Linked DNA regions of Macaca fascicularis. The protein of the gene in region 3 purifies or fractionates together with the protein of the main gene of each other region. This does not show direct contact. Links are inferred from orthologs where the notes say so. Each region holds a gene or a part of one and is shown on either strand. Other genes may lie near its edges.

Region 1 (3,500 bases), on a different chromosome or scaffold from region 3:
CGAGATTGTACCACCATACTCCAGCCTGGGCAACAGAGCAAAACTCTGTCTCAAAAAAAGCAGCAGCAGAAAAGTGGGCTCTGGGGGGAGAGGTGGCCGGAGCTAACTGTGCCCTCCCCAGCTTCCCTCTCTATTGGCTCCTGCCATCTTGAAGAATCCCCAAAGGATGGAATTGGGCCTCTAGCCGTCCCGGGGCTCCCTCTGCTTAACCTGGCCTGCCCTTCCCAGCCCACTGCAGCTCTAGAGCCAAAAGTTGCCAGAGATCCCGGGTGGGGCTGAGGGGCCAGGTTCACTGCATGCTGCAGGGGGCAGCCCTAGCCTCAGTGTGACATGAGTGTCACATAGAGTGTGACATGGAGTATCCACCTGGGCCTTCCTCCAGGCAAACATCTCCAGGGCCAAACCACCAAGCCACCTTTCAGATCCCAGCGTGCAGGAGTGTTGTGCCCATGAGACCCAGAATGGGGCAGAGACCTCCAAGTCACCTGGAAAGTTAGAGATGGCGAGGGGACCCAGTCATGGGGCTTTCAGCTGCAGCTTGCCCCGGCTGCGTCGGAAGAGAATTGCTGCTCACTTTCTTCCCCAACATTCTTTGTGAGAGGCGGTGCAACAAGGAGACATTTTAGAGGGGGCTGTGGAAGGTTTTTTTTTTACACGTGTAGTCAGCACACAATTATCAAAGGCAAGCAGAGGCGTGGAAAATTCTAAACAAAGGCTGCACCAGAAGTCTCTCCGGCAGGCAGTAACCTGCTTAGTCAGCCACCACGTGTGTAGACACTGCACCCAGCACTCCCCACCTTGCCTGGACACCCTGACCAGGAGGGGCCGAGTGTGGGTAATCATCATTTGAATGTCTGCCTGGCCCCCACTTTTATTCTAAGTCTACAATGTATCATAGGTAGCCTTACTGTTCATCTACCCCTCAGGTTATAGACGGGAAACCAGGCCCTGGGAGGAGAGGGGTCCGGCCAGAATCACACTGAAAGTTGGTGGGAAAGTCAGACCTAGAACCCAGGTGTCCTTCCAGCTCCACACTCCATCTCCCTCCCGTCTGACTTTTCATTTCATTGATAGATTTCAGGCCCTTTCATTCACATTCTGGAATCATTTTCTGTCTCCTACCCTAACTGGAGTTTTTAGTGTAAAGAGACAGGGAAAAGCTGTAAGTTAGAAATGAAGTCAGAGTGTGAAATTGGTGGAAAGATGTGAGCTTAGGAGACCGGCTGGGGCAGAGTGACCGCCAAGCCTTGCTCTCCCCCTCTGTGCCATTGTAAGAAAAGATGGAGTCACTCTCTGTACCCTCTTCGCTCTTGGGTACCATTACGATCTGTCCCGAACTCTCCCAGATCTGAGACCCCACATTCTCTCTCCATAGGTGGAAAAGAGGCTGTTTCAGGCACCACACCTCAGAAGTCCCGGAAGCCCAAGAAAGGGGCTGGGAACCCCCAAGCCTCAACGCTGGCGCTGCAAAGCAACATCACCCAGTGCCTCCTGGGCCAACCCTGGCCCCTGAACGAGGCCCAGGTGCAGGCCTCAGTGGTGAAGGTCCTGACCGAGCTGCTGGAACAGGAAAGAAAGAAGGTGGTGGACGCCACCAAGGAGAGCAGCAGGAAGGGCTGGGAGAGCCGCAAGCGGAAGCTATCGGGAGACCAGCCGGCTTCCAGGACCCCCAGGAGCAAGAAGAAGAAGAAACTAGGGGCCGGGGAAGGTGGGGAGGCCTTTGTTTCCCCAGAAAAGACCTCCACGACTTCCAAGGGGAAAGCAAAGAGAGACAAAGCAAGTGATGATGTCAAGGAGAAAAAAGGGAAGGGGTCTCTTGGCTCCCAAGGGGCCAAGGACGAGCCAGAAAAGGAGCTTCAGAAGGGGATAGGGAAGGTTGAAGGTGGAGATCAAAGCAACCCAAAGAGCAAGAAGGAGAAGAAGAAATCCGACAAGAGTGAGTGACCTCTTCTCCCGGCCCACCCCGAGGGCTGCTGGGCACCCCACGGGGGCGGGAGGGACTCTCAGCCAGCACCTGGTCTAATTCCTCCCATGTAGAAAGGAGAGGCTGAGACCAGCCTGGCCAACATGGCGAAACCCTGTCTCTACTAAAAATACAAAAAATTAGCTGAACGTGGTGACAGGCACCTGTAATCTCAGCTACACGGGAGGCTGAGGTAGGAGAATTGCTTGAACCCGGGAGGCAGAGGTTGCAGTGAGCCAAGATCACGCATATGTACTCCAGCCTGAAAGACAGAGCGAGACTGTCAAAAAAAAAAAAAAAAAAAAAGGCTGAGAAGTGATTTGTCCAGAGTCATGGGGGCAGCTTGTGGCAAAGCCAGAACTCGATTCCAGAGCACTTGGGCCAGCACTGCCAGGAATGCTCCAGAAGGACGAGGAGTCATGTCCTCTTTCCCCAAGCCCAGTGCAGCAGATCTTGGAGGAACCTGCTGCTCCAGCCAGCTCCTGGGTGCAGAATGGACCAGGAACCAGACTGTCAAAATCCTCATCCCAAACCCCATCTTCTCTCTAGACCTCAGTTTCCCCTCCGTAGTAACACTGGCCCTTTACTGAGTGCTGCTCTAGAGACTCAGCTTACAGCAGGACCTCATTTAGGTAGAAATGAGGCTCAGCAGGTAGAAAACTGAGGCTCAGAAGTAGAGACCCTGTTCAGGGCCACAGAGTTTTACTAGGTGGAGCCAGAGTCAAACCTAGGCAGCACTCTTGAGCATCACCCTGGATGGTGGGATGCCAGTGATGCCCGAAGAGCCAGCTTGTTCTAGAACAAGAGTCAGGCACCCTCAGCAGGATATGCAGCTCCTTGGTGCTCAGAACTGTGCTAGATTTCCATTTACAGTACGGATAGATAGTGTCCATTTAAAATAAATTTGCGGGAGTTTTAAAAAGTGAGTTGACCTAAAGAAAAATGGTAGTCATCCAGGTGGTCCATGGATGGGACAGAAATCATGAGCTGGCCCCACTGGGTGGTCGTCACAGCTGCCAGCCCGTTTTATTTTTATTTTTGAGGCAGGGTCCTGTTCTGTCACCCAGGCTGGAATGCAGTGTCAGGAACGCAGCTCACTGCAGCCTCAGCCTCAGCCTCCCAAGCTCAAGCAATCCTCTTGCCTCAGCCCCCCAAATAGCTGGGACCACAGGCGTGCACCACCATGCCCAGCTAATTTTTTGTAGAGACAGGTCTCACTATGTTGCCCAAGCTGGTTTTGTACTCCTGGGCTTGAGCGATCCATCTGCCTCAGCCTCCCAAAGTGCTGGGATTGCAGGCATGAGCCACTGCGCCCAGCCCTGCCGGCCTGTTGTGATGGCTCCCGGTGGTGTGGGGAGAACTGGGAGCCCTGCCCTGTGCGCCTCCCAACATTGACCCCAGCACTTAGGATTACCATCTGTTGTTCAAGAACTTTAGTTTCTTCCCTTAGGAAAAAAAGACAAGGAAAAAAAAGAAAAGAAGAAAGCAAAAAAGTCCTCAACCAAAGATTCTGAGTCACCGTCCCAGAAGAAAAAGA
Region 2 (3,500 bases), on a different chromosome or scaffold from region 3:
CTGCACTCCAGCCTTGGTGATAGAGCGAGACTCCGTCTCAAAAAATATATATATACAAAACATACCTGGGCGTGGTGGCTCACGCCCGTAATCCCAGCTGCTTGGGAGACTGAAGCAGGAGAATCACTTAAATCTGGGAGGCGGAGGTTGCAGTGAGCTGAGATCCCGCCACTGCACTCCAGCCTGGGCAACAGAGCGAGACTCCGTCTCAAACAACAGAGTATTACAAGAGATGACACATTTGAAACACGTGGAACGGTGCTGGGCATGGAGAAGTCACTCTGAATGTTAGCAGCATTAGCATCTTCATGATCTGGGTGGCACTGTGCTGGAGATGCGTAAATGAATAAGGCCTCCGAGGCTCACAGTCTGAGGAGGGAGGCAGCTAACTGTCCGTGTGTGCTACCACACCACAAGTAAAACATCAACAAGGTGTGACAGGAACCCAAAACAAGGAGTGACCAGAGTCTGGGCTGGGTCAGCTTCCTAAAGGCTGGGCGTTCAAATAGGCTTTTAAGCTGTTGAGGTCGGAGTTGGGGACAGTTGGAGGTGAGTAGAGTAGAGTCAAACTTGGGTAGGGCCTATGGTAGAAACCATCTAGGGCCAAAGGCCAGGGTCATTGCTCTCCTCTATGCTCCAGCGGTCAGCGCTGTAGACCGGATGGAAAGATGGTTAGGTCTTACCCAGACACTGCGGCAACCTGCCCATTCTGGTCCTCTGGGAAGAGCCTGGGTGGTTCCTAGGGCAACCAGTGGCCATTACTAGGGAGGGACGGGGACGAAGGAGGGTGGACAAGAGAGGGGCATTTCCCCTTGCCGCCATGTTAGAAATAGGAAGGACCTTCCGGGAAGAAGGGGAAAGGGGCAGAGCTGGGCAAAGCCCTGCAGCCTCAGGCAGGAGGCCTGGGAGGGAGAGGGTCCTGGTGTGGGGTCCCTGCTGAGTCTGAGGGAGGCAGTGGGGTTTCCCTTTCTGTTTTGTTAGGGTCTTCAAGAAGTCGAGCCCTAACTGCAAGGTGAGTCTCCACAGCACTTACCCTTTCGACCCTCCCTGGGCCCCAACAAAGCCCGGCCTTCCCCTAGACGATCCCCAGCCTGCCCAAAGATGATCCCCAACCCCTAGCTCCCCACTTCCTGTGACAGCTAAGAGCCGACTTCCTTTCCTCCTGAAGCCCCTTGCCGCAGAGGCTGCTCAGCCTGAGCCAGCCACAGGCTGGGTGGGGCAGGCCTGGGTCCCCAAGCAGATCACAGAGGAGGCGGCCAGAAGCAAGCCATGTGCCTGTAGCCCTCCTAGGGCCCAACCCAAGGTGCGTGGGGCTGGGAAAAGTTAACAGCCCCCACCCAGGCTATGGCTTATTGATCCTAGAGCCCCTTGAGGGGACCTCGTGAGGGTGGCAGCTGCTCTCTAGCTGGCTAGTAGGACTGAGTTCTCCCTGAGGATCCAAAGACACACACACATAGACACACGGACACACACAGACACAAATACACACACACACACACACCCCTCTGGCTGGTTGAGGATGCAAACACACACACACACACAGACACACACAAACACACCTCGCTGGTTGGGCTGAGTCCTCCCTGAGGATGCAAACACACACACACAGACACACATGCACATACATGTTCACATGCACACCTGACTGGGTGGGCTGAGGCCACACACACACACAAACACACACACACACACACACACACACACCGGGCTGGTGGGCAGAGGTGTGCAGAGATTAGGGAGCAGCTAAAAAGCGTTAAGGTCCACTAGTCTGAGAAACGCCACCACCCTCACTTTCCAACACTGTTGGGAGGAAAGCTGGAGAAACTCCTTCCTGATAGCCCAGCCTGGAGATCCCCGGGCAGGGCAGCCAGTTTTGAGGGCTCCGATGCCCTGTCACCATCCTCCCCAATCTCCCCTGTGACCCCTTGACATCCTCAGCTCACCGTGTACTTGGGCAAGCGGGACTTCGTAGATCACCTGGACAAGGTGGACCCTGTAGGTAAGTGTTCTCAGAAAGGAGCAGCTCGTTCCCCAAGAGGGGAAGAAGTTCCCGGGCCCAGGAAAGGGGGTGGCGGCTCTTTCCGGAAGTGAGCTGGTGTGTCCCCCTCCTAGATGGCGTGGTGCTTGTGGACCCTGACTACCTGAAGGACCGCAAAGGTACTGGCCCCAAGTCCGGGGGCTCAGGGGAAGTGGGGGCTAGGGAAGTGAAATGGGCTGGCCTTGGAAGGGCACCCCAGAGAGATGGAGGCTGGAGGTGGAAGCCAGGAGTAGGGTTCAGGCAAGTCTTATGCTGCTGAGGGAGGAGCAGCGGCTGCTAGGTGCTGGGGGACTGGGGAAGCGGGGCTCCTGATCACACATCTTACCCTCCCTTGCCAGTGTTTGTGACCCTCACCTGCGCCTTCCGCTATGGCCGTGAAGACCTGGATGTGCTGGGCTTGTCCTTCCGTAAAGACCTGTTCATCGCCACCTACCAGGCCTTCCCCCCAGTGCCCAACCCGCCCCGGCCTGCCACCCGCCTGCAGGACCGGCTGCTGAGGAAGCTTGGCCAGCATGCACACCCCTTCTTCTTCACCGTGAGGATGCCCCTGCCCTCTGAGGGCCAGGGGGCTGGGCTGGGACTGTGTCTGGGGTGGGGGTAAGGCACCGCTATGGACAGATCTGGAAGAAACAGTGAGGCAGGGACCCTAGATCCACCTCCCTTCAGGGTCCCCATGCATTCAGGAAGCCCTTGATTATCTGCCTTCTCTCTGGGTCCCTTCCTTCCTCCTTTCTCATCCCCAGGAGTCCTTTCTCCAGCCTCTTTTTCTTTTTTTTTTTTGAGACAAAGTCTCACTCTGTCGCCCAGGCTGGAGTGCAGTGGCACAATCTTGGCTCATTGCAAGCTCTGCCTCCTGGGTTCAAGCGATTCTTATGCCTCAGCCTCCTGAGTAGCTGGAATTACAGGCGTGCGCCACCACACACGACTCATTTTGTATTTTTGGTAGAGATAGGGTTTCGCCATGTTGGTCAGGCTGGTCTAGAACCCCTGACCTCAGGTGATCCGCCCACCTCGGCCTTCCCAAGTGCTGGGATTACAGGCGTGAGCCACCGCGCCCAACCTCTCCAGCCTCGCAAGTTGAGATTTGGAGGAAGATCTGGGGGCTTTCTGGAAGGACTCAAGTCTTCTCTTTCCTCTGCCACAGATACCCCAGAATCTTCCATGCTCTGTCACACTGCAGCCAGGACCAGAGGACACAGGGAAGGTATGGGAGGAACAGCTCTGAGGGCTCCCAGGGCAGGACAGGGGCCAGCAGGAGCCTGGAGGCACAGCTGAGCCAGAGGGTGAACTGTCGAGATGCCAGGGTGGGGCCGAGGGTAGGCCAGTGTCTTCGTGGAAGTGGGGTGTGTATGGTGATGCACGCGTGACCCTGCCTCCTGCTCTCTGGACCTGCATGGATCTGGGGATGGGGGCTCCCCTTGCCCCTTGCACTACCATGACCAAGCCTCTGCCAGGTTCGGGG
Region 3 (3,500 bases):
AGAGCTCTGATTCTGATTCTGACTCAAGCTCCGAGGATGAGCCACCAAAGAACCAGAAGCCAAAGATAACACCTGTGGCAGCTAAAGCTCAGGCTAAGGCCCCTCCCAAACCAGGTACTGTTTCTGTTCCCAAGAGGCTGGGCTGGGAACCAGATTGCTCTGGGGACTTGTGTTAAAACTGCTGATTTGGCACAGGGGTGAAATGGTACTGGTTGTTGAACTGGAGGTATTGATTACTGGTCTTTTAATTTTAAAGGTTTTACTAATAACAAGATTTCATAGGAGCTAGTAAATAGAGAAACAGTTATTGCAGCAAGGAAAAATGTATATTTTTTAAAATGATATCCATTTGGTATTTTTTTGTGACATTTCATAGACATTTTATGTTCTTACACATCCCATTCCACTGTAACCACTTAAATATCTATTTGTTGTGCTTTTCACTGCCTTTTTTATTCTTGTACGTCATTCTATGAGACAAATGAGAATTTTTCTTTTTTTCTGTAACTTGAGGGTTAGGTTATTTCTCTGAATGGAGGTTGAAGTGAAAGATTTTAGAGGGCATATTGAGATTATTTATGTCATCTTTTCTTAGTTTTATTCCTGCCATGGGATAGGAAAGGCATCCTTTGATGTGGTAAACCATGGCATTCTCCTTGATGGCTGCTCTAAAGTTGAAAGAATTGGTGGACTCCTGGCCAGGCACAGTGGCTCACGCCTATAATCCCAGCACTTTGGGAGGCTGAGGCAGGCGGATTGCTTGAGGTCAGGAGTTCAAGACCAGCCTGGCCAACATGGCAAAACCTTGTTTCTACCAAAAATAAAAAAACTAGCTGGGCATGGTGGTGGGCACCTGTAATCCCAGCTACTCCGGAGGCTGAGGCAGGAGAGTTGCTTGAACCACTGCACACTGCTCTGTGCGACAGAGTCAGAGCCAGACTCCGTCTCAAAAGAAAAAAAAAAGGGGGGGAATTGGTGGACTTCTAAGTTCTCTGCTCATAGGAAGGAGGTTTTTCATGGTCCTGACTTGCCCTATTACTCCTTACTCTTTCTTTTTCTTGGGTATTCCAGCTCGAGCAGCACCTAAAGTAGCCAATGGTAAAGCAGCCAGTAGCAGCAGCAGCAGCAGCAGCAGTAGCAGTGATGACTCAGAGGAGGAAAAGGCAGCAGCCACCCCCAAGAAGGTCTGGGCCATAACTTCGGTCAGGGAAGAGGTGACCAGGGTGGGGTGTGTGTGTGTCTCCATTCCCTGGCAGGATTGGTTGGATCAGCATTTTCCTGTGGTAATCAGTTTTCTTTCCAATGCAGACTGCACCTAAAAAGCAAGTTGTGGCCAAGGCCCCAGTGAAAGCAGTTGCCACCCCTACCCAGAAGAGTTCCAGCAGTGAGGATTCCTCCAGTGAGGAGGAAGAGGAGCAAAAAAAACCCCTGAAAAATAAACCAGGTGACTGGACATGGAGAGTCAAGCTGTATGACTGTGGTCAGGGCCCAGCTGCAGTAATCACATGGACCTCTCCATAGAGCTGCTTGAGCGTCCTCATGACATGACAGCTAGCTTCTCCCAGTACTAGTGATCTGGGAAAGCAAGGAGGAATCTCCAGTGCCTTGTATAACTTAGACTCAGAAGTGACACCGTGTTCTGTTAGAACTGAGTCATTGGCCGGGCGCGGTGGCTCACGCCTGTAATCCCAGCACTTTGGGAGGCCGAGACGGGCGGATCACAAGGTCAGGAGATCGAGACCATCCTGGCTAACAAGGTGAAACCCCATCTCTACTAAAAAATACAAAAAACTAGCCGGGCGAGGTGGCGGGCGCCTGTAGTCCCAGCTACTCGGGAGGCTGAGGCAGGAGAATGGCGTAAACCCGGGAGGCGGAGCTTGCAGTGAGCTGAGATCCGGCCACTGCACTCCAGCCTGGGTGACAGAGCGGGACTCCGTCTCAAAAAAAAAAAAAGAACTGAGTCATGATTCTGGCCTATACTCAAGGGGAATTAAGCTTCATTTCTAGAAGAAAGTAGTATCAAAAAATTTGTAGACATATCTTAAAACCATCATACTATCCTTTTTAAACAGGTCCCTACAGTTCAGTCCCCCCACCTTCTGCTCCCCTACCAAAGAAGTCTCTGGGAACCCAGCCTCCCAAGAAGGCTGTGGAGAAGCAGCAGCCTGTGGAAAGCAGTGAAGACAGCAGTGATGAGTCTGGTGAGTCAGAGGGATGCAGCCTCCCCTCAGTGTGGGTCTGGAGAAGGGGATGAAGAATAAGGGAGAGAGAAAGCCTTCCATCCCTCCATTGTTTTTTGCTTAAAGCAAGACAGAGCTATGGCTCTGTGTGTGTCTTTGCATTCTTTTTATTGCTGTCCTGGTTGGGTTGGGACTCTGGACCCAGCATAATGCTACAGGTTCTCCTCAGATTCAAGTTCTGAAGAAGAGAAGAAACCCCCAACTAAGGCAGTCGTCTCTAAAGCAACCACTAAACCACCTCCAGCAAAGAAAGCAGCAGAGAGTTCTTCAGACAGCTCAGGTAAGGCATATGGAGGCCCTCAGTTCAGTGAAATGCTCTCAGGCAGCTGCTAAGGGCTCCCCTGAATCTGAATTGGGGAGCTGTTGATCCCATCCCTCTGTGTCTAGACTCTGACAGCTCTGAGGATGTTGAAGCTCCTTCCAAGCCAGCTGGTACCACCAAGAATTCTTCAAATAAGCCAACTGTCACCATCAAGTCACCTGCAGCAAAGCCAGCTGCAACCCCCAAGCAATCTGTGGGCGGTGGCCAGAAGCCTCCGATGAGAAATGCTGACAGCAGCTCCAGTGAGGAAGAGAGCAGCTCCAGTGAGGAGGAGAAGAAAAAAAAGACGGTGGCCACCACTAAGCCCAAGGCGACTGCCAAAGCAGCTCCGCCTCTGCCTGCCAAGCAGGCTCCTCAGGGTAGTAGGGACAGCAGCTCTGATTCAGACAGCTCCAGCAGTGAGGAGGAGGAGGAGGAAGAGAAGACAGCTAAGTCTGCAGTTAAGAAGAAGCCACAGAAGGTAGCAGGAGGTGCAGCCCCTTCCAAGCCAGCCTCTGCAAAGAAAGGAAAGACTGAGAGCAGCAGCAGTTCTTCCTCTGATGACTCCAGTGAGGAGGAGGAAGAGAAGCCCAAGGGCAAGGGCTTTCCCAGACCACAAGCTCCCAAGGCCAATGGCACCTCTGCACTGACTGCCCAGAATGGAAAAGAAGCTAAGAACAGCAAGGAAGAGGAAGAAGAAAAGAAAAAGGCAGCAGTGGCAGTTTCCAAATCAGGTCTGTACCCAGTAAACATGCCCTCTGGGTTTTGTCCCCCCAAATCAGGATGGGATATACTCTTTGAGAGTAGGGTAGTGAGAGGAGGCCCACCACTGGGCTTCCAGTTGTGGAAACTGGGAGGAAGAACAGGAAACTGGTCTTTTTTTTTTTTTAATAGAATCTTACTCTGTCACCCAGGCTGGGGTGCAATGGCATGATCACGGCTTGTGCAGCTTTAACTTC
Region 4 (3,500 bases), on a different chromosome or scaffold from region 3:
CCGCCTCCCAGGCTCAAGAGATTCTCCTGCTTCAGCCTCACAAGTAGCTGAGATTACAGGCGGCTGCCACCACACCTGGCTGATTTTTGTATTTTTAGTAGAGACGGGGTTTTACCATGTTGGCCAGGAGGGTCTCAAACTCCTGACCTCAGGTGATCTGCCTGCCTCAACCTCCCAAAGTGCTGGGAGTACAGGCATGAGCCACCGCGCCCGGCCTGTCATGTTTTTCAAGTGATAGCAGATTGGTCATATTTCACTGAATCTGAGACTTTCAGTGAAGAGAGACAACATTATAGTAGATACGATTAGGAAAAATCTTCCATGGTTAAACTGTGCAGTGCCATCGACGGTAAGATACACTCCAAGTTCAGAGATGTTAAAATGTGAAGGAAAATATAAAAAAGATTGTCTGGTTGGGCACAGTGGCTCACTCCTGTAATCCCAGCACTTTGGGAGGCCGAGGCGGGTGGATCACGAGGTCAGGAGATCAAGACCATCCTGGCTAACACAGTGAAACCCCGTCTGTACTAAAAATACAAAAAAATTAGCCGGGCATGGTGGCAGGCGCCTGTAGTCCCAGCTACTCGAGAGGCTGAGGCAGGAGAATGGCGTGAACCTGAGAGGCAGAGCTTGCAGTGAGCCGAGATCGCGCCACTGCACTCCAGCCTGGGCGACAGAGCGAGACTCTGTCTCAAAAAAAAAAAGATTGTCTTAGAGTTGGTAAATGTCATACATGCTAGGAATTAACGTAAGTCATGTTGGAGACCTCCCAAAAGAAACAGAAGTTAGAGGATTTTCTGTTCTTCTGGGGCTGCAGTGGGGATTGGGGCCCTCCTGGTGCCCTCCTCCCTGCCTTTCAGATGCTTTGGGGTGTTTCAGTACCAGGAATGAGTCCTCCCCCCTCTCCATTCCCCTTTTTCTTTTGCACTCCTCATGTTAGTCTGGTTGTCCCAGGGTGGGGGCCTGTGCCTACTCGCCCCGTGCTCATCCACTCACTAACCCCTGGACACTCTGCCCACCCGCCCTGTGTTTAGTTCCAGAGAACCAGACGCCAGTAGATACCAATCTCATAGAACTTGACACAAAGTAAGCCGAACCCTGCCTGCAGACATCGGGGGACAGGGTGGGCCGTGGGTGGGCGGGGCGGAGGGGTCATTTGCATATATGCTTATTAACCCCTGAGGAGCCGCTGGTCTAACCCCGTCTGCTGAGAGCTGCCTCTGCTCGCCTCTTCAGCAACCCGCTTGCCTGCATGTGACTTGAAGGACCCTCCGTGCCTGTTCCTCTTCCTCCTGCCTTGGTGGGGTCTGTCTTCCTCCCTCGTCCTTGCACGTCCGTCCGTCAGTCTGTTCGTCCATCCACAGCGCCTGCTCAGCTCACACAGGGCTGGTCCATGGCCCTGGGCTCGGCTCTCCTGTCCTGCCCACGCCAACCAGTGGAATCAGGCTGTGGGGTGGGCAGGGGACTGGGGATCTTGTTGCTTCTGACTCCTGAGGACCAACCGATGTGGATTTCCCTGCGGTCAAAGGCCATCGAGTCACCGGACAGTGGCCAGAGGGGGAGGACCTGGGCCGACTGCGAGAACCACCTCCAGGGCCAACTGGTTTTCTTGCTGCAGCTCCAAAGCCAATCTTCCCTTGTCCCCCAGGAGAAATCTGGGGTGTGGGAGTCTCAAGTCACCCCATGAGGATGCCACATGCACTGGCTGAACCCTGTTGGGCAGGGGACCTGGATGGACCCCTGCATGGTCCTAAGTGGACATGTTTCATGGTAGAAGGGAACTCGCTGTTCTTAAAGGCAGTCCTTAGTCCTGAAACCCCACTTAAGCCTCCCCTTTCCTCACGAACAGGTCCTCTACTCCCCTATTCAGATTCACATCCTCCTACCCCAGCCTTCTCCTGTGTGGGATCCCCCGTGGGAGAATCGGAGCTGACACTTCCTGGGAGAAAGGTTCTCCATGGTCTTCTCTTCCACGAAGCCAAACTACTCCTTCCTGTCCAGACACGGGAATGCTTCATAAGGGCAGTTTTCTGGGTGGTGGGGTGGGGTTTACCAGTCTTATTCTTGGGGGATTCAGAACATGCTGTGAAACAACTACTGGTGGCCTGGCTTCTTAAGTCCTTCCTTGGGCTACAGAGCCACACTGCTCCCCCCACCTCCTAAAGAACCGGGTTACTTTTCTAGCCCTTAGGCACAAGAGTCAAATTCATGCCCCTCTCTGCCCCTTTCATGACTGGCCTGAGTCCTGATGTGACTGTCCTTACTGCCACAGGGGGCATCCACATGTGCCTGCCAGACAGGCCTTTCTGCTTATGGTCAGTCGCCGAGGTCAGAGACCTCACAGAGGGTGGTTCTCTCCCCGGCCCCAGAGCCACACTCTGAGTCACCTCTGGCCGGGCCTCTGGATAAGCCTACTCTCCCTGCCCCTGCAAACACGCCACATTTTCCTTGTCTCTCCCACTAGTGATGACGACATTGTATTTGAGGACTTTGCCCGCCAGAGACTGAAAGGCATGAAGGATGACAAGGAGGAAGAGGAGAATGGTACCGGCTCTCCACAGCTCAACAACAGATAGATGGGCCGGCCCTGCCTCCACGTGGCTCCGGCTCCACTCTCGTGCGCTCGGATGCTTATTCGTCTTCTTCCCGTTCTGGTTTATTTTCCCCTTTGTTCTTCCAGTTTCTACCAGGGGGGCCTGTGGCCTTCCAGATCACGGTGATGAACCTCTGACCTCAGGATTGGCCCCACATCACCATGCCAACAGGACCACAGCACACCGGCTCCACCCCATCTCTGCCATTGCCTCTCCACTGCCCTCCTTTTCATGCTGTCTCCCAGAAAAGCTGCCAGGGTTCTGGCCTTGGAATTGGACTTGAGATGGGGAGCAGACAGGGGAGGATGGGGCATGCAGGACACGGTGTGGTGGGCATGAGGGCTTGGAGGGGTGGGGATGAGGGCTCAAGACACGAGAGAAGATGTCCACGGTTCCAGGTGGTTAACAAAGTTCTGGCAGCTAAAAGATGACTGCATTGAAGGCCACCTCCTTCTGGCTGGGAGGGGCAGACCTGTGGACAGATTCTCAATGCCTTTTTGAAGTTCTGACCCACCAAAGACCTTCTGCCTTCACCCTCCTCTCCACCCGATGTCCCTCTGTGTCTGATAGTGACGTTGGTGAAAGTTTGTAGACCACAGGAGTAGAGAAAAGCAACTGGAGTGACTTTCTTACCAGCAGTTACCTAGACTGAGGCAAGCTGTGTGGACTCAACAAAGTATATTTCAGTAGTGTCAGGATGTGACATCTTAGCTACCTTGTATTTCAAGTGCATGGGCCTGTCTAGAGATATGCAGAGAGAAAAGCAGAGGGAGGGAGGGAGGGGGCCTTCAGCAAGCACCAGCCCACAGCAGAGTTAGCGGAAGCTCTTGATGAGGGTTCCCGAAGTGGGCCGCTGGGATATGGAGGCAGGGGGTGGGGAGAGGAGAGTCTGCCTTATGTCCCTTC
Region 5 (4,284 bases), on a different chromosome or scaffold from region 3:
TATAGTGAGACTCTATTTCTAAAAAAAATACTACTAATAAAGAAAAAGGCGAAACTTGAATAGGGAAAAGGAGTCACCCTTGGGAAGGTGGGGTGGAGGGGTTGGTGGTGGCTCCTAGTTAAGCTTGGAGGATGGAAGGAACCAAAAGATGGATGCGTGGTGGTCTCAGGGAGGGAGGCATGATCAGAGAAAGGCCCTGGGTCTGGGAATAATCATATTGTACACATAGTATCTTAATATTGAACACCATCCTACATGTTTCACATGCTTTACCTTGTTTAATTCTCCTTGCAGCCCTGTGAAGTGAGTGCTATTACTGGTTTTGTGCTGTAGAATCTGTGACACAGAGAGGTTGAGTAATTGTCCTAAGGTCACACAGCTTCTAAGTAGCAGTGCTGGATAGATCTGACTCCACAGTCTGTGCTCTTAGCTGTGTCAAGGAGGAAGGCCCAGGATTTCATCTAGAAAACAGACTGTGAAAAGGGATTGGAATGAGAGCAACCTGCACTGGGTGCAGAGGTCCTGTCGATAAAGGATGCAGGATGGGAAAGGAAGACAAAGGAAGGGCCTAGAAGGTCCAAGGAGAAGGGTGTTCAGGGCTGCAAGCAACACTGGAAGCCAGGCCAGTTCAGTTGACCACCTACCCTGGTGCATCCCCAACCCCTGCTGTCCCTTCAGGTCGGATTTGCAATTCTGCTCTCCCTCCTCCTAAACACAAACAGGAGATTTACACACTCAAAGTCTCTCCCCACAAATAACTAATTAATCACAAAGGGAAAAATTGTAACTTTGCAGTGGCACAACCTGGCCGACACCAGCTTAACCAAGTGACCAAAGTGGATATTCAGGGAAGGCTCTGGAAGGGCATTTGGGGGAAGCGTGGAAAGGTTTTGTGAGGACTCTGAATGACGGGGGTGGGAAGCTTTGGGGACTGAGGAGTCTACCCTAACAGGGCAGGGTCCAGAGGGGGAAGGAGGGGTATGTCTCCGGGAAAGGGAGAAGTATTGAGGTGGGAGAGGTTCTGAGGTTTGACCGAGGCCCTGGGGAGGGACTTGACAGTTTGGGTGACAGGAGGGTCAGAATAGGGTCAGTATGGGAGGTGTCGGGTGGGTAAAAGCTGGGTGAGTGCAGGGCTAGGGGTAGGGTCTCCAAGGACAGTGAAAGGGTCGAGACACGCGGGCGAGGGCTCTAGGGCAACGGCCAGTGGAAGGGGGGCTCCTGTGGCGTGAAGTCAGGCCAGCCCGAGGGTGAGGCGATTTGGACCGTCCGACCTGGGGCGACGGGAGGGCGAGGGTGCGGGACGGTGCGGGAGGGCGCGAGGTAGGCGGCGGGGCGTGCCGGGGCGGGGCCGGGGCGGGGCCGGCACCGCCCGGCGGGTCCCCCCGCGCTCCAGGGGGCGCTGTGAGCCTGGGCGGCCCCAGGCCGGGCGGCGGCCGCTCCCAGCGAGCGCGGCCCCTTTTCCGGGTTTCCTCCGCCTCCTCCTCCTCTCCTCCTTCTTCTCCGCTGCCGCGGCCGCTGCCCCTTTCCCGGCCGGTGGCTGCCACTGCCGGTGCCGCCGCCGCCACTGCCGCCGCCTCCTGGGGGCCGCGAGCCGAGCGGAGACCGCCGCGGATCGCGAGCGCCGCCCGCCCCGCCGCCCCGCCGGCCGCTCCAGGGCCGGGCCGGCTCGGCCGGCGCCCCCCGCGCCCCCAGCCCGCCCGCCCCCGCGGGCCCGGCCTGGCGCGGCCGCCCGCCGCCGCGCTCCTCCTCCTCCTCCTCCAGCGCCCGGCGGCCCGCTGCCCCCTCCGCCCGCCGCCCCGCGCCCCCCGCCGCGTCGCCGCCGCCACCCTCTGCGCCCCGCGCCGCCCCCCGGTCCCGCCCGCCATGCCCGGCCCGGCCGCGGGCAGCAGGGCCCGGGTCTACGCCGAGGTGAACAGCCTGAGGAGCCGCGAGTACTGGGACTACGAGGCTCACGTCCCGAGCTGGGGGTAAAGCCGCCGCCGCCCCCCGCCGGGCCCGCTGACCCCTGCCCCCGCCCGGCCACCCCCTGCGAACCGCACTCGGGCCCGGTGGTGTCTCCCGCCGACCCCTCCGCGGGCCCGCAGGGAGGCAGAGGTCCAGCTCTCGCACATGTCCTCGTCTTCCTCTTCCCTCCCCTTGTCCCTTTCTCCCCGCTTTGCGCACCTCTTTCCCCCAAGGAATGCTTTTTTACTCGGGGAGAAGTGTGGGGTCCAGGGATCGACGCCGGGTAAAAGTGAGGGAGTAGCCCTTCCTCACGCTTCTGGGTTTCCACTGGGGTGGGAAGTCAACAGCTGTCCTTTGGAGCTATTAAAATTCCCTGCCTTTTCGGTTTTCTGAGATGAGGTGGTGGGAGGAAATTTCTTAAAGACGTCCAGTTTTTTAAAACAGGCACTGTCTACCCTCAGGGTGTGAAACGGGAAGCAGGTGCTGGGGAGCCGCGGGGCACAGGGGGCACCCTCTAGGCCTTCAGGACGGGTGCTTTGCTCAGCCCTCTGGATTGGCTCAGAGCGTTGCCTTCCTGCCCCATCTTTCCAAGTTAGGAGAGACCAATTAGGTTAGGAGCTCTGCAGAGTGAAGGGAGCCAAGATTACGTCGTGGCTTTCATTTAGGGAATGAGTTGTGACGTGATGTATAGACACTTCCAAGTGTTTGCCTGTTGGAAGCGGCTGAATGACGTATACAGTGAGCATAGGCTTGCTTAGATTAACCCCCAGTCCTGGCATTTATGTGTGTGTCTTCCTTTTACAGTAATCAAGATGATTACCAACTGGTTCGAAAACTTGGTCGGGGAAAATATAGTGAAGTATTTGAGGCCATTAACATCACCAACAATGAGAGAGTGGTTGTAAAAATCCTCAAGGTGAGTGTCCTATGAGTGGTATGTAACATTTTTCCCCCCCACAGGGCAGAAGGTTGTAAGCTACCCCAGTCACGTTCTAGAATGGGCAATGCAAACTTGAATTTAATTTAATTTATTTATTTAGAGTCAGTCTCACTCTGTCACCCAGGCTGGAGTGCAGATCATAGTTCACTGCAGCCTTCAACTCCTGAGCTCAAGTGATCCTCCCATCTCACCCAAGTAGCTGAGACTACAGGTGCATGCCACCACGCCCAGTTATTTTTAAAATTTTTTTGTAGAGTCAGGGTCTGGTCAAGTTGCCCAGGCTGGTCTTAAACTCCTGAGCTCAAGCAGTCCTCCAAAAGGACTCCTTGCAGGCCTCCTAAAATTGCTGGGTTTACAGGCATAAGCCGCTGTGCCCAGCCCGCGCTCAGATTTTATTTATCTGATGTCCCTTCATTACTTCTTTTTCCACCCCATTTTCCTGTGAACTTTCAAGAAAATGTGCAGACTGGTCACAGATCTTAGTTCAAATCTAAGTTCAGGAAGGTGTTTGTTCTAAAAAGTAAATTGCCTAAAGCAAAAATTCCTAAAGGGCTCCATTTGTTAGAAAATAAATAGGTATTCAAAAGACAGGAAAGCCATTCTCAATTTAAGGGCTCCCTGAGCACTGTGTTTGTTAGTCTTGGTGCATGCTCTCCGTTGTTCCAGAAAGAAAGTTGGAAAAAATTGGAGCGACTTCAGAAATGTATGTCAAACCCAAGTGGAAGGAAATTCCTTAGCAGATAATCACTTGCTTTTTTTTTTTCCTTTGGCAGTAAAGTTTCAGGTGGGATGGATATAGTGCGCCAGTAGTGCTGAGAAGCCTTGTTGGGAAGCCAGAGAGCCATTGTTGCTTATCAGCTAGTAAAAATGTAGAAGAATTCACGTATTATTACTAAAGCAATAATTGGAACAAAACGATTTTAATATATGGTTTAGCAATCAGTTTGATAATGATATGTCTTTTGTTATCTCTTCCATGAAGATGATTTTAATGAGCATGAAGGGTTGGCTAAATTTTCCTTCTGGTAACATTAATTGTATAGCTTTAATAATGTTTTATAGGCTATAGTAAAAAGTAGTTCTTAGAATCTGTGATGGGTCTTCGTTATTGCCAGATCATTTCATGTGGTTACATGTCATTTAGTGAGAGATTGAGAAGACGGAAGAGTGACGTAAGCACTTTGCATACATGTGATTTCCAGTGTGGCCCTTTTGCAGAGGTTCTGTGGACTAAGAATGTGGAATTGAAAAGCTGTTTCTGTGTGTTAGAGCAGCTGTGTAGGTAATCACTGTTTAATGTGAGGGGTCAGGCTTATGCTTTCTCGTAATCTTTCAGAAAAAATGATTAACTCCATCACTCAAAACATCCTAGCCTAGTGATGAAGAAGCAGAATTGCAGT
Region 6 (2,883 bases), on a different chromosome or scaffold from region 3:
TGTACTTGTAAGACTCACAAAATCCATAGTTCTAAAGAAATGAGTATAAGTTGTGTTAAAAAAAATTCAAACTAACCTTTAACTTTAATCTTGGCTTTTTTTGCTTTCTTTTCAGTAATTTCATCCTCTTTATCTACCTGTTCTATTTTGCGTTTTTTAGAACAGGTTGGAAGTGTGGAGTCACCAGAAGGATCGTACGTCTTCACTTCACTGAAAGACCCAAAAAGTTTTAGAAAATCTCTACAAGTATCTGTAATTGAAATAATTCTCAAGAGATAAAGAAAATGCCATTAGATAATACTTACATAAGCACACAATGTTGTTTCATTTTAGTGGCTTTGGGGTAGTTTATGAAGACTAATAGTTTCCAAAAGTTAAAGGTATTAATATTTTTCAAGTAGGTCAATCACATTCAAGAGAAGTGGTGAGCTAAATGAATTCTGATTTAGTAATCAATGTAGTTACTATGGTACAGGAAAACACTCAATCAGCATGGGGGAAATGAAAGAAGAAAATGTCTTCACACCTAACTAGAAAGTGAAAAATGAACCAATCCAACTTTCAGAACACTGCGCAATTAAATGGAAAAAAAAAAAAAAAAGCAAAACAAAAAATCTAAACCAAGCTTAGTATAGAAGTCTTCATCACAAGATCACAAGCAGAACAAGAAAGGATACAAATACATACACATGGAAAAGATTCCTTAGAACCCAACATTTGCTTTTGTTCTAATGTAAGCAGGAAGAAAATACTGAAATGAGTGCCTAAAATGTGAACTGATGCTTTAACTGCATATGTTTAAAGTAAAAAGCATTAATTGCACAGGAACATTAAAAAAATTGGTTCAAAACAAGTTAAAAAATGTTCTGTTTCTTAAGCAGATTTGTAAACTGCATGACTATTTAATTTTTATAGGTTAAAGACATTTACAATTTAAGAAACAAAGACCCATGTTTGTCAACTAGAGATAATAAGTTACAGACTGTAAATATTGCAGAATGTATGGCTATTGTAGAAAGCTTGGAAAATTCACAAAAAAGAAAATGTGAATGCCCACAGAAACACATCTGATTTCCTTCCAGAACACACTAATTATACTTAAATATGTATTTATAATTGCTAATGTTACTATATATTGCTCTCTTCATCCACTTATAGTGTAAGATTTTACTATTAAAATTCTTGAAGGAGGCCAGGCGCTGTGGCTCACGCCTGTAATCCTAGCACTTTGGGAGGCCGAGGCAGGTGGATCATGAGGTCAGGAGATCGAGACCATCCCGGCCAACATGGTGTAATTCCGGCTCTACTAAAAATACAAAAATTAGCTGGATGTGGTGGTATATGCCTGTAATCCTAGCTACTTGGGAGGCTGAGGCAGGAGAATCTCTTGAACCGGGGAGTCAGAGGTTGCAGTGAGCCAGGATCGCGCCACTGCACTCCAGCCTGGCAACAGAGAGAGACTCCATCTCAAAAAATAAATAAATAAATAAAATTTAAAAACCAAATAAATAAATTCTTGAAGGTTTATGAGCCCTGAAAGTATAATTTATTGGGTAATGACTGGGAACATTTTGAAGAATCTTGATACATACTGTGAAATGGCTTCCTAGAATAGCTATACCACATTCTGCCTCCACCATGACAACCTCACCAGCATTGAGCATTACCTCAAATAATAAGCCAAATACCCCTCCACATACAAATCTTTTGTTAATCTGATAGTTAAGTTTGAATGCTTTATCGTGCCTCAGCCATTTTTAGACTTGTTTTCTGTCTTTATACTTTTTACAAAATAGTTTTCTGTAGGGACTAACTCTGAATGAACTTTTTTTTGAGACGGAGTTTTGCTCTTGTTGCCCAGGCTGGAGTGGAATGGCGCAATCTCAGCTCACTGCACCCCTCCGCCTCCCGGGTTTCAAGCGATTCTCCTGCCTCAGCCTCCGAAGTGGCTGGGATTACAGGCGCCCGCCAGCACGCCCAGATAATTTTTTGTATTTTTAGTGGAGACGGGGTTTCACCACGTTGGCTAGGCTGGTGTTGAACTCCTGACCTCAGGTGATCTGCCCGCCTCGGCCTCGCAAAGTGCTGGGATTACAGGCAGGAGCCACTATGCCCGGCTGAATGAACTTTTTGATAAAGAACATATTATAGAGAAACTTTAGATTTAAAAATTTACTATCAATATCTGGAAATGAATAAATACGTATATGAATGAAAAGTAGAAGTTAATGTGGAAAACTAAATGGCACGGAAAAAAATTAGGGGTGCACAACATGGTTAACTACAGTTAACAATGTGTTATATTCTTAAAAATTGCTAAGTAGATTTTAAGATGTCCTTACTACAAAAAAAAGTATGTAAGACAATGCATGTTAATGAGCTTGACTTAATCATTCCTCAATGTGCACATTTTCCAAAATAACATGTACACAATAAACAATTTTTGTCAATTAAATAAATTTGAAAAACTATGGGCACATCAAAGTGAAATTTACAAAATCGCTGTCAATAATTAACATTTAAAAAAACTATTCACCCCATTGTCACTTAAATGTACTCACCTTTTGTGTTCATATTTTTCTGTTTTTGCTAATGCCTTTCCTGTTCCACTTATTTTTCTTATCTAAGACGAAAAGGAAAAATTACAGATACAATTCTAAGTCACTTTATAATACACTAAACAGTCTAGTGAATCAGTGGGCCAGCAAACAATTTCTGCTATTTTTTGTTATTTTGAATAGCATATCCTAATGGCAAATGCTATTGTATACATCAATTCTTGGTAAATAATAGCAATTGTTAATAGTAGGCACAAAAAGAATACTTTAGACATACTAACAAGGATCATAAAACTGTTTAGCAGATAAAGTAACTTCATAAATT
Region 7 (4,147 bases), on a different chromosome or scaffold from region 3:
AATTCAGGATTAAGGACAGAAATAACGAAGTAAATTGAAGTCTTAGCATTAATATTTTCCATTACATTTTGGAATCGTCTAATTTTATGTATTGATGACGGTAAAAATAATTCAACATGCTAATGTATGGATTAATTTTGCAATTCCATTTTAAAATGTTAAATGGAATAACGATTCAGATTCGTTAAGTCGACATGTGTAACAGAATTCAACCACATCTGTAAACTATATTAAAATTATGTGAGTAAGATTTACCGGCCATATTTTTTAGGTTTGACATATTAGATTTGTGAGTGAACTATGTACTTGGATTTTGTCAAGTAACTCAATCGATTAACAAAATAACAATTAAATGTATAAATGTAGTTTATAGCTATACAGCATTTTTAAAAATCCCCTTCGAATGACTCTTTAAAATATATCAGGGGATATGCTACTTAAGCATAACTAGGTTTTGGATTTATAACGTTAATATTAATTATTAAAGCAAAACTCATTTCTAAATAGTCGCCTGAGAGCCCAAAAGACGCCCTCGAGGACAGGGAAGGAGCTCCGATTCACTTGGCGCTCGCCGGTGCCCAGAATTCAGGGCCGCTCAAGCGGAGGAGCAACACGTGGCCAGCAAAAGAAGCTGGGTCCCGTGCAGCACAGCAACAAGAAACTGGCCTAGGAGGACGCTGGAGCGTCTTTCTTTCGCACGTCACTGCCTGACACCGTCATTTTAAAAAATAATAAATAAAATTAGTAGTACGAAGAAAGCTGCGCAAGCCACGTTCCCAGCAGGGTCTGCGCCAAAGCGCGCAAGGAAACGCTCCCGTTCCGGGTGGGAGGAAAGGATGCACGGCCCACCCAGCGCTGGGGAGGCTCGTCCCCGAGTAGGGGACGGGAACGGATGGGTCCCGGGGACTTGGGGCGCAGGGTCTGGGGCCCGAGGCCACGGGCGCAGCGGGCAGCCGGCTAGGCAGCGGTCTCTGGGATGGACGCCGTGCCCTACGCGGAGCCTCCCACCCCGACTTCACCCATCTCTGCTGCCCGCAACTTATATGACAAGAACATCTGGAACTGGACTATTATACCGAAAGGGCCTACCCATGTCTTTTCGCTGCCAGCAAGGCCCGACTCCGGGCCGCGCGTCCCCGGCAACCGCGCCCGCCCACGCAGCTGCAGAGGCCAGAGAAGGCCTGCTCGCCCGCGCTCGGCGCCACCCAGCCCGCGCTCCGGGCGATACCACCCCGGGCGGCCCCTCTAAAGGCCGGGAGATGGTGTCGTCCCCGGCCTCCGATTGGTCTGCGGGGCGGGGGCGGGGCCTCTGGAGCCTGGTTCCGCGCGCCGGAGCGCGCTAGCCGCATTGCGAGCCGAACCCGGGAGCAGGCGCCATGGTGAGGAGTGGTTGTGGGGCGCGGGCGACGCGAAGGTGGGGGCTTCGGTCTGGGTTCGCGCTTCAGACAGAGCCTGGGCCTGGGCCTGGGCCTGGGCCTGGGCCTGGGCCTGGGCCTGCGCCTGCTCTCGGAGCGGGTTCCGGCAGACGCGGAGGTTGAGCTGACGCTAGCGCCCCGGCTCCCGTTCCAGGTACTGTTGCACGTGCTATTTGAGCATGCGGTCGGCTACGCGCTGCTGGCACTGAAGGAAGTGGAGGAGATCAGTCTGCTGCAGCCGCAGGTGGGTGAGATCCATGGGCTCCTCAGGCGGCCTCGCAGACCCTCACCGCGCAGGTCCCAGCATGCAGCGCGCGCTCCCACGTGGCCGGCCGAGAGGTTCGGGGCGGGGGGCGGGCCTGGAAAGCTCTAGATCCGGGGGTCTTTACCTTGACTCATGGGAAGAATCGCTCTAGCAGTTAGAAATAAGCCTCCCGGACCCCGCGCCGGAACGATTAAAGCAGAAGCTGGGTTGTGGGGTCCCGCTGTCAGCATATTTTAAGAGCTTCCAAGGCTGAGAACCGCTGCTTTATGCGCCGCAGAGGCAGGAGGGAGGGAAGGAAACCACTCAGCCTCTTTCTCCCCCGCTAGGTGGAGGAGTCCGTGCTCAACTTGGGCAAATTCCACAACATCGTTCGTCTGGTGGCCTTTTGTCCCTTTGCCTCGTCCCAGGTTGCCTTGGAAAATGCGAACGCCGTGTCTGAAGGTGAGTCGGCCACCACCAAGTATCACAGGGAGATGTGGTTCCTTCTGGTATCCTCTCGGGCAGCTTGTGATAGTATTTGCCGTCCTTGGCCGGCTGTGAGTCTGATAGGTGTGAGGCAGTATTTGAGACATAACTGTGTAATTTGAAATAATTGTCTTCACAGAGCTCAAGATCTGGGAACTGTGATGGACCAAACTGTTGAAAGCAGATGATGTGGGATGTGTGTTACGTTTCCTTGTGGGCACTGTAGTGACAGATTATTTATTTTTTGAGACAGAGTCTCTGCCCTCCAGGCTGGAGTGCAGTGGCACGATCTGGGCTGACTGCAACCTCCGCCTCCCTGGTTCACGCGATTCTTCTGCCTCAACCTCCCGAGTAACGGGGATTACAGGCGTGTGCCAGCCACCACACCCGGCTAATTTTGTGTTTTTAATAGAGACGGGGTTTCACCATGTTGGCCAGGATGGTCTCGATCTCCTGATCTCGTGATCCCCCGCCTCGGCCTCCCAAAGTGCTGAGATTACAGGCGCGAGCCACCGTGCCCGGCTTGACAAAGGGGGTTTCTTAAAGGGGGTTGGCTTAACACCTACCTGTGCCTGAGTTTTTTGCCTAAACACAATCAGGTGTCTAGTTTTCTGCTATTTGCTTGGAAAGGGCGGTTGGATAAACACAGGCTAAGAAAAAAAGGTTTGGTTCCAGAAGGCAAATTCTACTAAATACTCAAGGGTGTGTTACAAGCTATTATTTATTGCACGATTGTGCTATCAGACCTGAGTGCAGTTGTTCCCATGGCTGGGCCAGGCTTTGCAGTGATGACTTGCGAATCAAATCTGTCAATCCCCTGAGTGCAGTCACTGATGTCTCCATGTCTCTGAGCAATGCCTGATGGGGAGGGGTCTAGGTATGCCATCCCAGCATGCTCCGTGGAAGCAGGGTAATCAGCTGAGGAGATGTTAGAATTGATCATCCTTCAGCCTGTGAGTGGGAACTGTGTTCTTTCCTCTGAGGGGTTGTTCATGAGGACCTCCGCCTGCTCTTGGAGACCCACCTGCCATCCAAAAAGAAGAAAGTACTCTTGGGAGTTGGGGATCCCAAGATTGGTGCTGCAATACAGGAGGAGTTAGGGTACAACTGCCAGACTGGAGGCGTCATAGCTGAGATCCTGCGAGGTGAGACCATCATCTGTTATATTCATGTTATCCTTGACATTTTCGGGGAGGAGGTTCTGGAAACGTGGGTGCTTGTTGTGACTTCTGGGAAGGCCTTGGACTTGGCTGGTGCCCATGGGTGCGGGAGCTAGCTCAGAGCCCCTTGTTGCTCACCGTCCTGCCCTCTTCTTAGGAGTTCGTCTGCACTTCCACAATCTGGTGAAGGGTCTGACTGATCTGTCAGCTTGTAAAGCACAGCTGGGGCTGGGACACAGCTATTCCCGTGCCAAAGTTAAGTTTAATGTGAACCGAGTGGACAATATGATCATCCAGTCCATTAGCCTCCTGGACCAGCTGGATAAGGACATCAATACCTTCTCTATGCGTGTCAGGTAAAGTGCAGGGGCCACCCATAATACTGGAGCCTTTGGTCTGTAGTTTAGCTAATTTTGAGTCTTGATGAGGACTGACCATCCTGTGGGTAGAACTATGTGGACTGGGGCTGGGTCTAGGCCTCCTGGTGCTTACCACAGGCTGTGTTCTTACACTGACTGTATAGAAAGAGGAGGTAGAGTAAACCTACCCTATATACACCTCAGCTCAGGCCCTGTGCCTGGTCTGTATTGTGAATGGGGGAACATAGAATGAAGATTTGTAGCTCTATGGTTTTTGATGAAGCAGCTGGGCCAGGGAGTGACTGTGGCTCTTTGCAGGGAGTGGTATGGGTATCACTTTCCGGAGCTGGTGAAGATCATCAACGACAATGCCACATACTGCCGTCTTGCCCAGTTTATTGGAAACCGAAGGGAACTGAATGAGGAAAAGCTGGAGAAGCTGGAGGAGCTGACAATGGATGGGGCCAAGGCTAAGGCTATTCT

What was found.
Region 1: the proteins of NOLC1 (region 3) and TCOF1 purify together in Homo sapiens (affinity purification with western blotting; 4 studies listed by BioGRID and IntAct, with this or other methods). This does not show direct contact. The link is inferred for Macaca fascicularis from reciprocal best matches to the Homo sapiens genes NOLC1 and TCOF1.
Region 2: the proteins of NOLC1 (region 3) and ARRB2 purify together in Homo sapiens (affinity purification with mass spectrometry; 5 studies listed by BioGRID and IntAct, counting the BioPlex papers as one, with this or other methods). This does not show direct contact. The link is inferred for Macaca fascicularis from reciprocal best matches to the Homo sapiens genes NOLC1 and ARRB2.
Region 4: the proteins of NOLC1 (region 3) and ARRB1 purify together in Homo sapiens (affinity purification with mass spectrometry; 4 studies listed by BioGRID and IntAct, counting the BioPlex papers as one, with this or other methods). This does not show direct contact. The link is inferred for Macaca fascicularis from reciprocal best matches to the Homo sapiens genes NOLC1 and ARRB1.
Region 5: the proteins of NOLC1 (region 3) and CSNK2A2 purify together in Homo sapiens (affinity purification with mass spectrometry; 5 studies listed by BioGRID and IntAct, with this or other methods). This does not show direct contact. The link is inferred for Macaca fascicularis from reciprocal best matches to the Homo sapiens genes NOLC1 and CSNK2A2.
Region 6: the proteins of NOLC1 (region 3) and NOP58 fractionate together in Homo sapiens (co-fractionation; 3 studies listed by BioGRID, with this or other methods). This does not show direct contact. The link is inferred for Macaca fascicularis from reciprocal best matches to the Homo sapiens genes NOLC1 and NOP58.
Region 7: the proteins of NOLC1 (region 3) and NOP56 purify together in Homo sapiens (affinity purification with mass spectrometry; 6 studies listed by BioGRID and IntAct, with this or other methods). This does not show direct contact. The link is inferred for Macaca fascicularis from reciprocal best matches to the Homo sapiens genes NOLC1 and NOP56.

Annotation. Positions count from the first base shown.
Region 1 is NC_088380.1:157,275,739-157,279,238, forward strand, and holds part of TCOF1 (treacle protein), read left to right. Parts: intron 1-1,375; coding exon 1,376-1,936; exon of another isoform or gene 1,937-1,937; intron 1,938-3,413; coding exon 3,414-3,500.
Region 2 is NC_088390.1:4,809,150-4,812,649, forward strand, and holds part of ARRB2 (beta-arrestin-2), read left to right. Parts: intron 1-981; coding exon 982-1,012; intron 1,013-1,168; coding exon 1,169-1,303; intron 1,304-1,938; coding exon 1,939-1,999; intron 2,000-2,112; coding exon 2,113-2,157; intron 2,158-2,376; coding exon 2,377-2,573; intron 2,574-3,182; coding exon 3,183-3,242; intron 3,243-3,500. UniProt on the Homo sapiens protein: Functions in regulating agonist-mediated G-protein coupled receptor (GPCR) signaling by mediating both receptor desensitization and resensitization processes.
Region 3 is NC_088383.1:111,164,388-111,167,887, forward strand, and holds part of NOLC1 (nucleolar and coiled-body phosphoprotein 1), read left to right. Parts: coding exon 1-114; intron 115-1,071; coding exon 1,072-1,184; intron 1,185-1,308; coding exon 1,309-1,444; intron 1,445-2,072; coding exon 2,073-2,201; intron 2,202-2,409; coding exon 2,410-2,520; intron 2,521-2,627; coding exon 2,628-3,275; intron 3,276-3,500. UniProt on the Homo sapiens protein: Nucleolar protein that acts as a regulator of RNA polymerase I by connecting RNA polymerase I with enzymes responsible for ribosomal processing and modification.
Region 4 is NC_088388.1:74,129,267-74,132,766, reverse strand, and holds part of ARRB1 (beta-arrestin-1), read left to right. Parts: intron 1-1,034; coding exon 1,035-1,086; intron 1,087-1,183; coding exon of another isoform or gene 1,184-1,211; exon of another isoform or gene 1,212-1,236; coding exon of another isoform or gene 1,237-1,258; exon of another isoform or gene 1,259-2,464; coding exon 2,465-2,576; 3' UTR 2,577-3,500. UniProt on the Homo sapiens protein: Functions in regulating agonist-mediated G-protein coupled receptor (GPCR) signaling by mediating both receptor desensitization and resensitization processes.
Region 5 is NC_088394.1:54,293,453-54,297,736, reverse strand, and holds the start of CSNK2A2 (casein kinase II subunit alpha'), read left to right. Parts: upstream 1-1,484; 5' UTR 1,485-1,863; coding exon 1,864-1,967; intron 1,968-2,748; coding exon 2,749-2,860; intron 2,861-4,284.
Region 6 is NC_088386.1:98,148,727-98,151,609, reverse strand, and holds part of NOP58 (nucleolar protein 58), read right to left. Parts: intron 2,624-2,883; coding exon 2,562-2,623; intron 1,444-2,561; coding exon of another isoform or gene 1,401-1,443; exon of another isoform or gene 855-1,400; intron 465-854; exon of another isoform or gene 306-464; intron 211-305; coding exon 77-210; intron 1-76. UniProt on the Homo sapiens protein: Required for the biogenesis of box C/D snoRNAs such as U3, U8 and U14 snoRNAs. Part of the small subunit (SSU) processome, first precursor of the small eukaryotic ribosomal subunit.
Region 7 is NC_088384.1:84,652,073-84,656,219, reverse strand, and holds the start of NOP56 (nucleolar protein 56), read left to right. Parts: upstream 1-1,347; 5' UTR 1,348-1,376; coding exon 1,377-1,379; intron 1,380-1,569; coding exon 1,570-1,659; intron 1,660-2,006; coding exon 2,007-2,121; intron 2,122-2,925; exon of another isoform or gene 2,926-3,000; intron 3,001-3,128; coding exon 3,129-3,290; intron 3,291-3,462; coding exon 3,463-3,661; intron 3,662-3,780; exon of another isoform or gene 3,781-3,912; intron 3,913-3,982; coding exon 3,983-4,147. UniProt on the Homo sapiens protein: Involved in the early to middle stages of 60S ribosomal subunit biogenesis. Required for the biogenesis of box C/D snoRNAs such U3, U8 and U14 snoRNAs. Part of the small subunit (SSU) processome, first precursor of the small eukaryotic ribosomal subunit.